Struthio camelus: one gene and its partner. The protein of the gene in region 2 binds, or shares a complex with, the protein of the main gene of each other region. Links are inferred from orthologs where the notes say so. Each region holds a gene or a part of one and is shown on either strand. Other genes may lie near its edges.

Evidence for each region.
Region 1: HDAC2 (region 2) and HMG20B share a complex: the UniProt entries of both Homo sapiens proteins name them as parts of the BHC histone deacetylase complex. The link is inferred for Struthio camelus from reciprocal best matches to the Homo sapiens genes HDAC2 and HMG20B.

Annotation. Positions count from the first base shown.
Region 1 is NC_090967.1:324,767-328,509, reverse strand, and holds the start of HMG20B (SWI/SNF-related matrix-associated actin-dependent regulator of chromatin subfamily E member 1-related), read right to left. Parts: upstream 2,456-3,743; 5' UTR 2,441-2,455; coding exon 2,427-2,440; intron 1,078-2,426; exon of another isoform or gene 984-1,077; intron 379-983; exon of another isoform or gene 376-378; coding exon 292-375; intron 1-291. UniProt on the Homo sapiens protein: Required for correct progression through G2 phase of the cell cycle and entry into mitosis. Required for RCOR1/CoREST mediated repression of neuronal specific gene promoters.
Region 2 is NC_090944.1:63,043,721-63,047,463, forward strand, and holds the start of HDAC2 (histone deacetylase 2), read right to left. Parts: upstream 2,303-3,743; 5' UTR 2,035-2,302; coding exon 1,983-2,034; intron 1-1,982. UniProt on the Homo sapiens protein: Histone deacetylase that catalyzes the deacetylation of lysine residues on the N-terminal part of the core histones (H2A, H2B, H3 and H4).

The DNA of each region.
Region 1 (3,743 bases), on a different chromosome or scaffold from region 2:
AAGTTGAAATAACCGGGAGATGGCCAAAGCCTGAGGTAAGGAGACCAGCCTTCCCAAAAGACAGGGAAAATCCCTAAGGTTTTCAAACCAGGACTAGCCACCTTTTGGCAAGAGGCAAAAACAGGACCAGGCACAGGACAGGGACAAGGTGACCCAAAGCAACTTGTGACATACAAGAGATCACATTCCCATTTGGCCAAGGTTAAGACTTCCATTTAGGCACTAGAAGATCAGTCAGCATCTCCACAGCTGGAAGCAACAGCACACGGGCCCGAGGAGGAAAACACTTACAGCATCCCTGCAGCCAGCTGCTTTGTGTTGTGGGCCATGGGCAGTCCTCGCAGACCACTGCCAACACTGCTCAGATCAGGACCCCTGAAACACAAAATCAGAGCTGTTATTGCCACTTGCTGGACAGGCAGCAGCGAGGAAGATACTCTGTAGATGGAGGTGGCCAAGCCGAAGTTTGGAGAGCTCTGATCTGGGCAACACAGACTTAGGACTCCTGGGTTTTATTTGCAGCCCAGACACCACCTCACTGCACAAATCCAGGCAAGTCACACCAAGGCTAGACACCTTCCTCCCCTCCTTCTCCACGTCCCCATGGAACCAAACACCTAGCACACAATGCAGACTGGAACAACAGCCCCGTCGCCCTGGGGCAGGACGGCCAAGGGACAGAGGGTTCCTCAACGCCCAGAGAGCCTCCCCCCGCGCGGGGTGGGCTGCTCTGCACTCCCTGCGGACCCTCGGCCCCGGGGACACCCCGCAGCAGGGCTCGCGGGAGGGCTACTCCCGCCGCCGAGCTCCAGCCGAGAAACCCGAGCGACTGCTGCGCGGAGCTGGGGAAACTGAGGCACGGGGCCGGGGCCCCCGCCAAACCCCCCGGTGCCCCCGCTGCAGCCCGCCCCCCGCACGGAGGGGCCCCTTGGCGCCCCCGGCGCAGCCCCCCCCCGCCGCCGCCGCCCCCCGGGCCCCGCAACCCCCCTTCCCTGGCGCCGCCAGCGGCCCCTCCGCCGCCCTTCCTCACTCGGCCCCGCCCGCGCTGTTATTATGCAAATCTCAGCCCGCCCCGGCGCTCCCGATTGGCCACCCGCGCGGAGCCGTGCGGCGCGCAGCCCAGCGCGGATTGGCTGGAGTGGAGTCTCGTCAGAGGAACGCGCGCCGGGAGGGGGAGGGGCGAGGGGGTGGGCGGGGCTGGCCGGCGTTGCGTGCTGCGGCGCGCTAAGCTCGGCGCGCGCGGCAGGCTGCCCAGCCAATCAGAAACCGCCATGGGGGTGGGGCAATCTGGTGGGGAGGGCAGCGCCTTAAAGGGGCAACGACGAGCGGGGCCCACCTCAGCAGCCTCCTGGGGGCGCCGCCAGTGACCGCTTCTGCGCCCAGGCCGCGGAGCCCGCGGAGGGACCCCGCGGGCCTCGGGGCTCTCAGTGTCCCCCCACTGCTCCCAGTGTCCACCTCGGGGGCAGTCCAGTGGCCCCACACCACTCCCAGTAGCCCCAGGGTGCCCCTCACTGCTCCCAGTGCCCCCAGTGTCCACCTTGGGGGGCATCCCAGTGGCCCCACACCACTCCCAGTGACTCTAGAGTGCCCCACACTGCTCCCAGTTACCCCAGTAGCTACCCCGGGGGGGCCCAGTGACCCCAGTGTGCACTGCTGGGCAGTCCCAGTCACCCCAGTGCCATGTACATGGCTCCCAGTGATCACAGTGACCACCTGAGAGGGGTCCCAGTGACACCAGTATGACCTAGACTGTTTCCAGTGACCCCAGTGCCCACCCCAGGGAAGGTCTCAATGGTCCCAGTATCCCCCATCCTGCTCCCATTGACCCCGCTGCCTATGCCAGGGTGTCCCAGCGACTCCAGTGCCCACCCCAGGGGAACCTAGTGGCCCCAGTACCCATCATGGGGTCCCACTCACGCCAGGGTCACCCTGGAAAAGTCCCAGTGGTGCTACATATCCACCTCAGGGGATTCCAGTGATGCCAGGATCCCCCTCACTGGTCCCAGTATCTTGATGCACTCATCCCCACTGTTCCCAGTGACCTCAGTACCCACCCCACAGTGTCCCAGTGACCCCAAACACTGCCCTGGGGGGCCTGGCAGCCCCACTGTCCACCCCAGGGGACATCAGTGACACCACAGAGCCACCTCACACTGTCCCACTGGTCACGGCGCTGGGCCAGGAGAGACCAATCCTGCATGAAGCAGGGCCAATTGGATCGGCTGCAAGGGCCACGTCCTGCTGGGGCTTGGGGATCTCCAAGGGTGGTCCCAGTCCTAATGACTCCCCCCCTCAAGGAGGAAAAGTGTTACATCTGGTGGGAATTTGTTCCAGCTAATGTCGTTGCTTCTCATCCCGCCCCTGCGCACCTCTGAGGAGAGTCCAGCTTGCAAACACCAAAACAGGGAGAACGTCCCTTCCCTCACCTTGCTGGCCACATGCTGGCTGACACAGCCCGGGACACAGTTTGCCTTCACAGCCCTGGTCCTGCTGCTTGCTGCTCACCAGGACACCCAGGTCCTCTTCTGCCAGATGGCCCCAGCCTGTCCCGCTCATGAGGTTACTCCAAAGCAGGTGCAGGACATCATAGTTGCATCTTCCAAGTCATCCATAAAGACATTAAGCAGTCTTGGCCACAGTATTAATCCCTGGGGGACACCACGAGTGACTGACTGCCATTTGGACTTTGTATAACTAATTACCTCTCTTTGAGCCTAGCAGTGAGGCCAATTTTGCACCCACTTTATTGGCTATTATCCAGCCCAGATCTCCTCAGTTTGGTTATAGGGATATTATGGGGGACCGTGTCAAAGTCCTTGCAAAAGTCATGGAAAACTACATCTGCTGCTCCCCTTGTCCACACAGCCAGTCATCTCACTGTAGGAGGCAATCAGGTTGGCCAGCTTGATTTGCTCTTGGTGATCCTATTCTGGCCGTTCTCAGCCACTTTGCTGCCCTTCACCCCCTTGGAAACAGCTCCCAGGAGGATTTGCTCCATCATCTTCCCAGGGACTGTGGTGGGCCTGACCCGTTGCTCCCCAGATCCTCCTGCCCTCCTTGCAGATCGGCATGGCACTTGTTTTTTCCCAGCCAGCAGGAACCTCCTCAGATCTCCATGACCTTTCCAAGATGATACTACGGGGATCAGCTCCCCCAGCAGCCTCAGCACATCCCGTTGGTCCCAGCGACCCGCGTGTGTCCCATCGGTTTGGTGCTCCCCAACGCGACCCTCCTCGGCTGTGGGTGATGCTTCACTCCCCGCTAGGCTGGAGGCTGGGAGGCCTGATCCGGCAGCCGGCCCAAACGGTGAAAACTGAGGCAAAGATAGCATCGAGCCTTTCCCCTGGCCTTTATCACCAGCACCAGCACTGGGTCCCCCTCGTCCTGCGCTGTCCTCTCAGTGTGCCAGTAGGGCTGTAGCCGGTGTATGTGTGCACACTCAACATGCTCCAGTGCAGGTTGAGCGACTCCTTTTTTGCCCCTCCATAGGCCTCCTTTCACCTGCCCATCACTCTCAGAAACACCTGGGCTGTGTCTGTGGAAACCTTCGGAAAAAAAATTGCTTTGACGCAGAAAATTGCAGCCTGGCTAGGTAAAGCTTTGCAAAACATCATCGGCATTTTATAAAATTGCATAAAAATATACACCTGTTAAATCCTAGCGTTATTTGGCTGCAGGTACATCGTCATGACATACTAGTTTTTAAAAGTAGGTTTATTTTTAATCAGGATAATCTCTTAATG
Region 2 (3,743 bases):
AGACATACACCACCATGATCTAAAAGTACAAAGATACAAATTGTACATTTGTTTTTGGGTTATTTAAGGCTTTAAACACTCCCCGCACTTTGATTCAAGACTTTGCTGGTAGAACACAACAGAAAGTACTCAAGATTATCACATGAGCCACAAATTAGCAGTAGAAACATTTACCAGAGGTATTAGGTCTAAACTTCTTTCTAATAACTATCTCCAAGTGAACACTGTAGAAAGAAATACAACTATTGGCTTTGTCAGGAAATAAAAAAGGCATTATAAACATTCCAATGCTGTTAATTTCTCTGTTACAGAGCAAGCATTTTCTAAATCATTCTTACTACAGATATTCCTTTCCCTAGCTTATTAGTGACTGCTTTTATTGTAGTCTACTGCAAGGTATTAATTACAACTCGCAAGGTATTAATTACAACTACTTAGAAGTCACCATTGTCCTGCCACCTCAAAACTTCTCCCTTCCCCACTTTCTCTTGCCTCTTCACTAGTGTAGTTTTATGGCTGTTTAGGGTCTCAGTTAACAGAGGTTGACACTAGCGCCGAGTATCAAAATCAAGGCATCACCGCAAAACTGGAGATACAGCTATCTAGTGAACTACAATTACCTGACATTAAAAAAAATGTATATTGATAAAAAACAAACATGCAATCATTTGCAGGGAGAAAGCTTGCAAACTATCAATGTAATCTTTCTTTCAATAATGCAAAAAAGCAAGCCCTCTTCCCTGGCACAAGTAAGATCCCAGCTTCACCAAAATTCTCCCTAACTGGGGCCTCCTTTCCCCTTTAGGCTGAACAAAGAACGAGAGCTAGCAACAAAGAGAAGGGGGCGGCAACAACCACTCTGCCTCCTTTAGTGTAGTTAAAAAAAAGAAAAAGAAGAAAAAAAAAACTAGACAGGCCCCACAAGATCTGCCATTTCTGAACAGCGGCAGATTTGCTACAGCAACAGACACCTTTGATATCTTGCTTGGTTTAGCCATTCTTCTCCGTTTCCCAAACGATGAAAACACATCACAAGCAAAGCAGCCTCAACCTCTGTTTCCTGACTACTGCACACACAACTTAAGGGATTCCCATGACAGGAGGAAATCTTAAAAATGAAATTGGTAACTAATCTGACCAGTTTACCCTCCCAGTACCAAAAATAAAACCAAACCCAAGCCCTGGAAAAAAAAAAAAATAGAAAAGTTTTCTCTGTTGTGGCCAGAAAGAACCACAAGCAAGTTGCTGCAAATACCAGAAACTAAAGCGTGAGCTTTATGTACTTCTTAGATGTGACTGACAAGGCAAATCACAAGTCACTACATTCTCACCAGGCGAGTGCACAAACTTAAGAAGGCCTACAAAAAAATCCAGTTTCCCCATTACTAAACATACATGCGACTTCGGTGTTTTGCTAGAGCAGAGGTTCATGAAAGCCAAATTTACACTCTTCATGCATGTCCTGGGGGGAGGGGGGTTGGGAAGAATACGCCTGTCCCCTCCACAGACAGAAAGCCTCTATACAAACTGGACGAAAGGCCTCAGCTGCAAGGATCACCAGGTGCCGAACCTACACATGGCCTAGACTTTTGGCAGGGGAGGAGCCAGACACGGCAGCGACTCCAACGTCTTCACGGATAGCGGATGGAGGAGAGTGTATCAACTTTTTTTTCTTTTTCTTTTTTTTTTTTGGGGGGGGGGGGAGGGAAGCGGTAACAATAAACACAGCATTCTCCGCCGGGCCCCCGGCTCCGCCGCAAGCCGGGCAGCCTCCCCACCAGCACCCTGTGCGGCTCCAGGTCGCCTTTCCCCGCGCCGCTCCGGCCCTGCAGGTGGATGGCGGCGGGGACCGGCCGGCGCTGCGCACCGCGGTGCCCACGGGGCACCTCGACCGGGCGGTGGGGGGGGGGGGGGGGAGGAGGGAGGAGGCCGCCCCCGGCGGCGGTTAGAGGGGCTTCCCCCACCCGCACTCCCGCGCTCACCGTCATAGTAGTAGCAGACTTTCTTCTTGCCGCCGCCCTGACTGTACGCCATGGGGCCGCCGCGCCGGGGCTGAGCCGGGGGAAGGGGGAGGGCGCGGGAGGCCGAGGCAAGCGCCGAGCCGGCGGGGAAGGGAGGGAGGGGGCGGGCGGAGGCGGACGCGACAGAGCGGGAACGCGCGACGCCGGGGCACAGGCAGCGCGAGCGGACGCGACCAAGGGGTGGGGAGGCGCGGCAACACGGGCGCGCCCAATCCGCGGGCCCCGGGGGAGGGCAAGAGAAAGGTAGGCGGAGAGGGCGGGCGCAAGTGAGCGTGGGCTCTCCTCTACTCATCCCTACGGCTGTCACTCAATCATGTAGGCCGGAACGCAGTAGCAGGCACCGGTGAGCCCTCACAAGCGAGACGTTCGAGGCGGCGCCTGGCATGCGCACCCCTACGCCAGCCCCGTGCAGTGGTACGGTCCGCCGGCTCGAAGGAGGGAGACGGCGCATGCGCGGGGTGACGCCCCCTCTTCAGCGCCGCCTGCGCTGTGCATCGCATGGCGACGCGGGAGCGGGGTCGGGGCGGGAGACCTCACTGCCCGTGCCCGAAAAAAAGCGGGCTGCTCCTCGCCTCAGCGCGGGAATAGGTTACTCCAACTCCCCTCAGGCCACCCCCCCCCCCACCCGGGGCAGTGGGGCAGGGTCCCGCCCGGGCCTGCCCCGAGCGCGCGCGGCCCCCCTCCCCCCCCCCCGGCCGTTACGGGCGCGCTGCCGGCCCCTGCCTCAGGGCCCTTCTCCCCTGAGCGGGAGTACGGGCCGCGTGCAAATACTCGGCCTCTCGGGCTTCTCGCACCCATCCCCCTTTTCACTTCCTACCCTCTTTGTCTGTTCTCCCACCAAAAGCAGTTCTGATTCTCCGGACCTAGCGTTACATACTGTTTTTTTTTTTTTTTTTTATTTTAAATACTGAAAGCACTGAAAAACCTCACCTCTTTACACTTTTAAAATAGCTCAGCACACACCTTCCTTCACACAAATCATAGCACACAGGACAACAGGTAGGTCTGTGTCTAGCTGCAACTAAGAGCGCTCTTGGAGGCACATACCGTATTGACATTATTGTTGCCCAGTAAAACACGCGTCCCTGTTTTAGGAGGAGTTCAAAGCATACTTTACAATGTGCATAGCAATTCCTTTTTCCAGAAGGAAAGCACGCTACAAGATCAAAGTACTTGGGGTTTTATATATGAGGCTTGACATCCGGATCAAGTTTCAATTTGAGACCTACCAGCAATTTTCTCTGCCTTGAGGTTTGGTTACACATCCAGGAGGAAGAAATAAATGATTAAGCTGGTAACATTTAGGCTTAGCCAATAACTACAGCATTTTTGTATTGGCAACAATTCAAGGCTTCACAGCTCTTGGAGTTTGAGGTCCCGTGTATCAAAGCCTGAGGGTGTATATTCAGTCATCAACATAGTTACAGAAGATTATTCAGCCAATATGAAAAATCTCATATCCTAGCTTTAGGGACTTGCATTAGTTTTAGAAGTCTTAACCAAGGTTTCTTGATTTATCAAAGATCCTAGGAGTATCTGTAAACACAGATTCATATGCACCTTTATATCAGATTATGTAAATACCTGCCCTTTATCAGTATCACTTACCAAAACTAGTACATGTCCAAACCAAAGTTAGATCTCTGCTTCCAGAATCAGGTTATTTTCACCCCTAGAGATATCTAGCACAAAGTTAGGTCCTCTTGGGTGATAAGTTGGTTC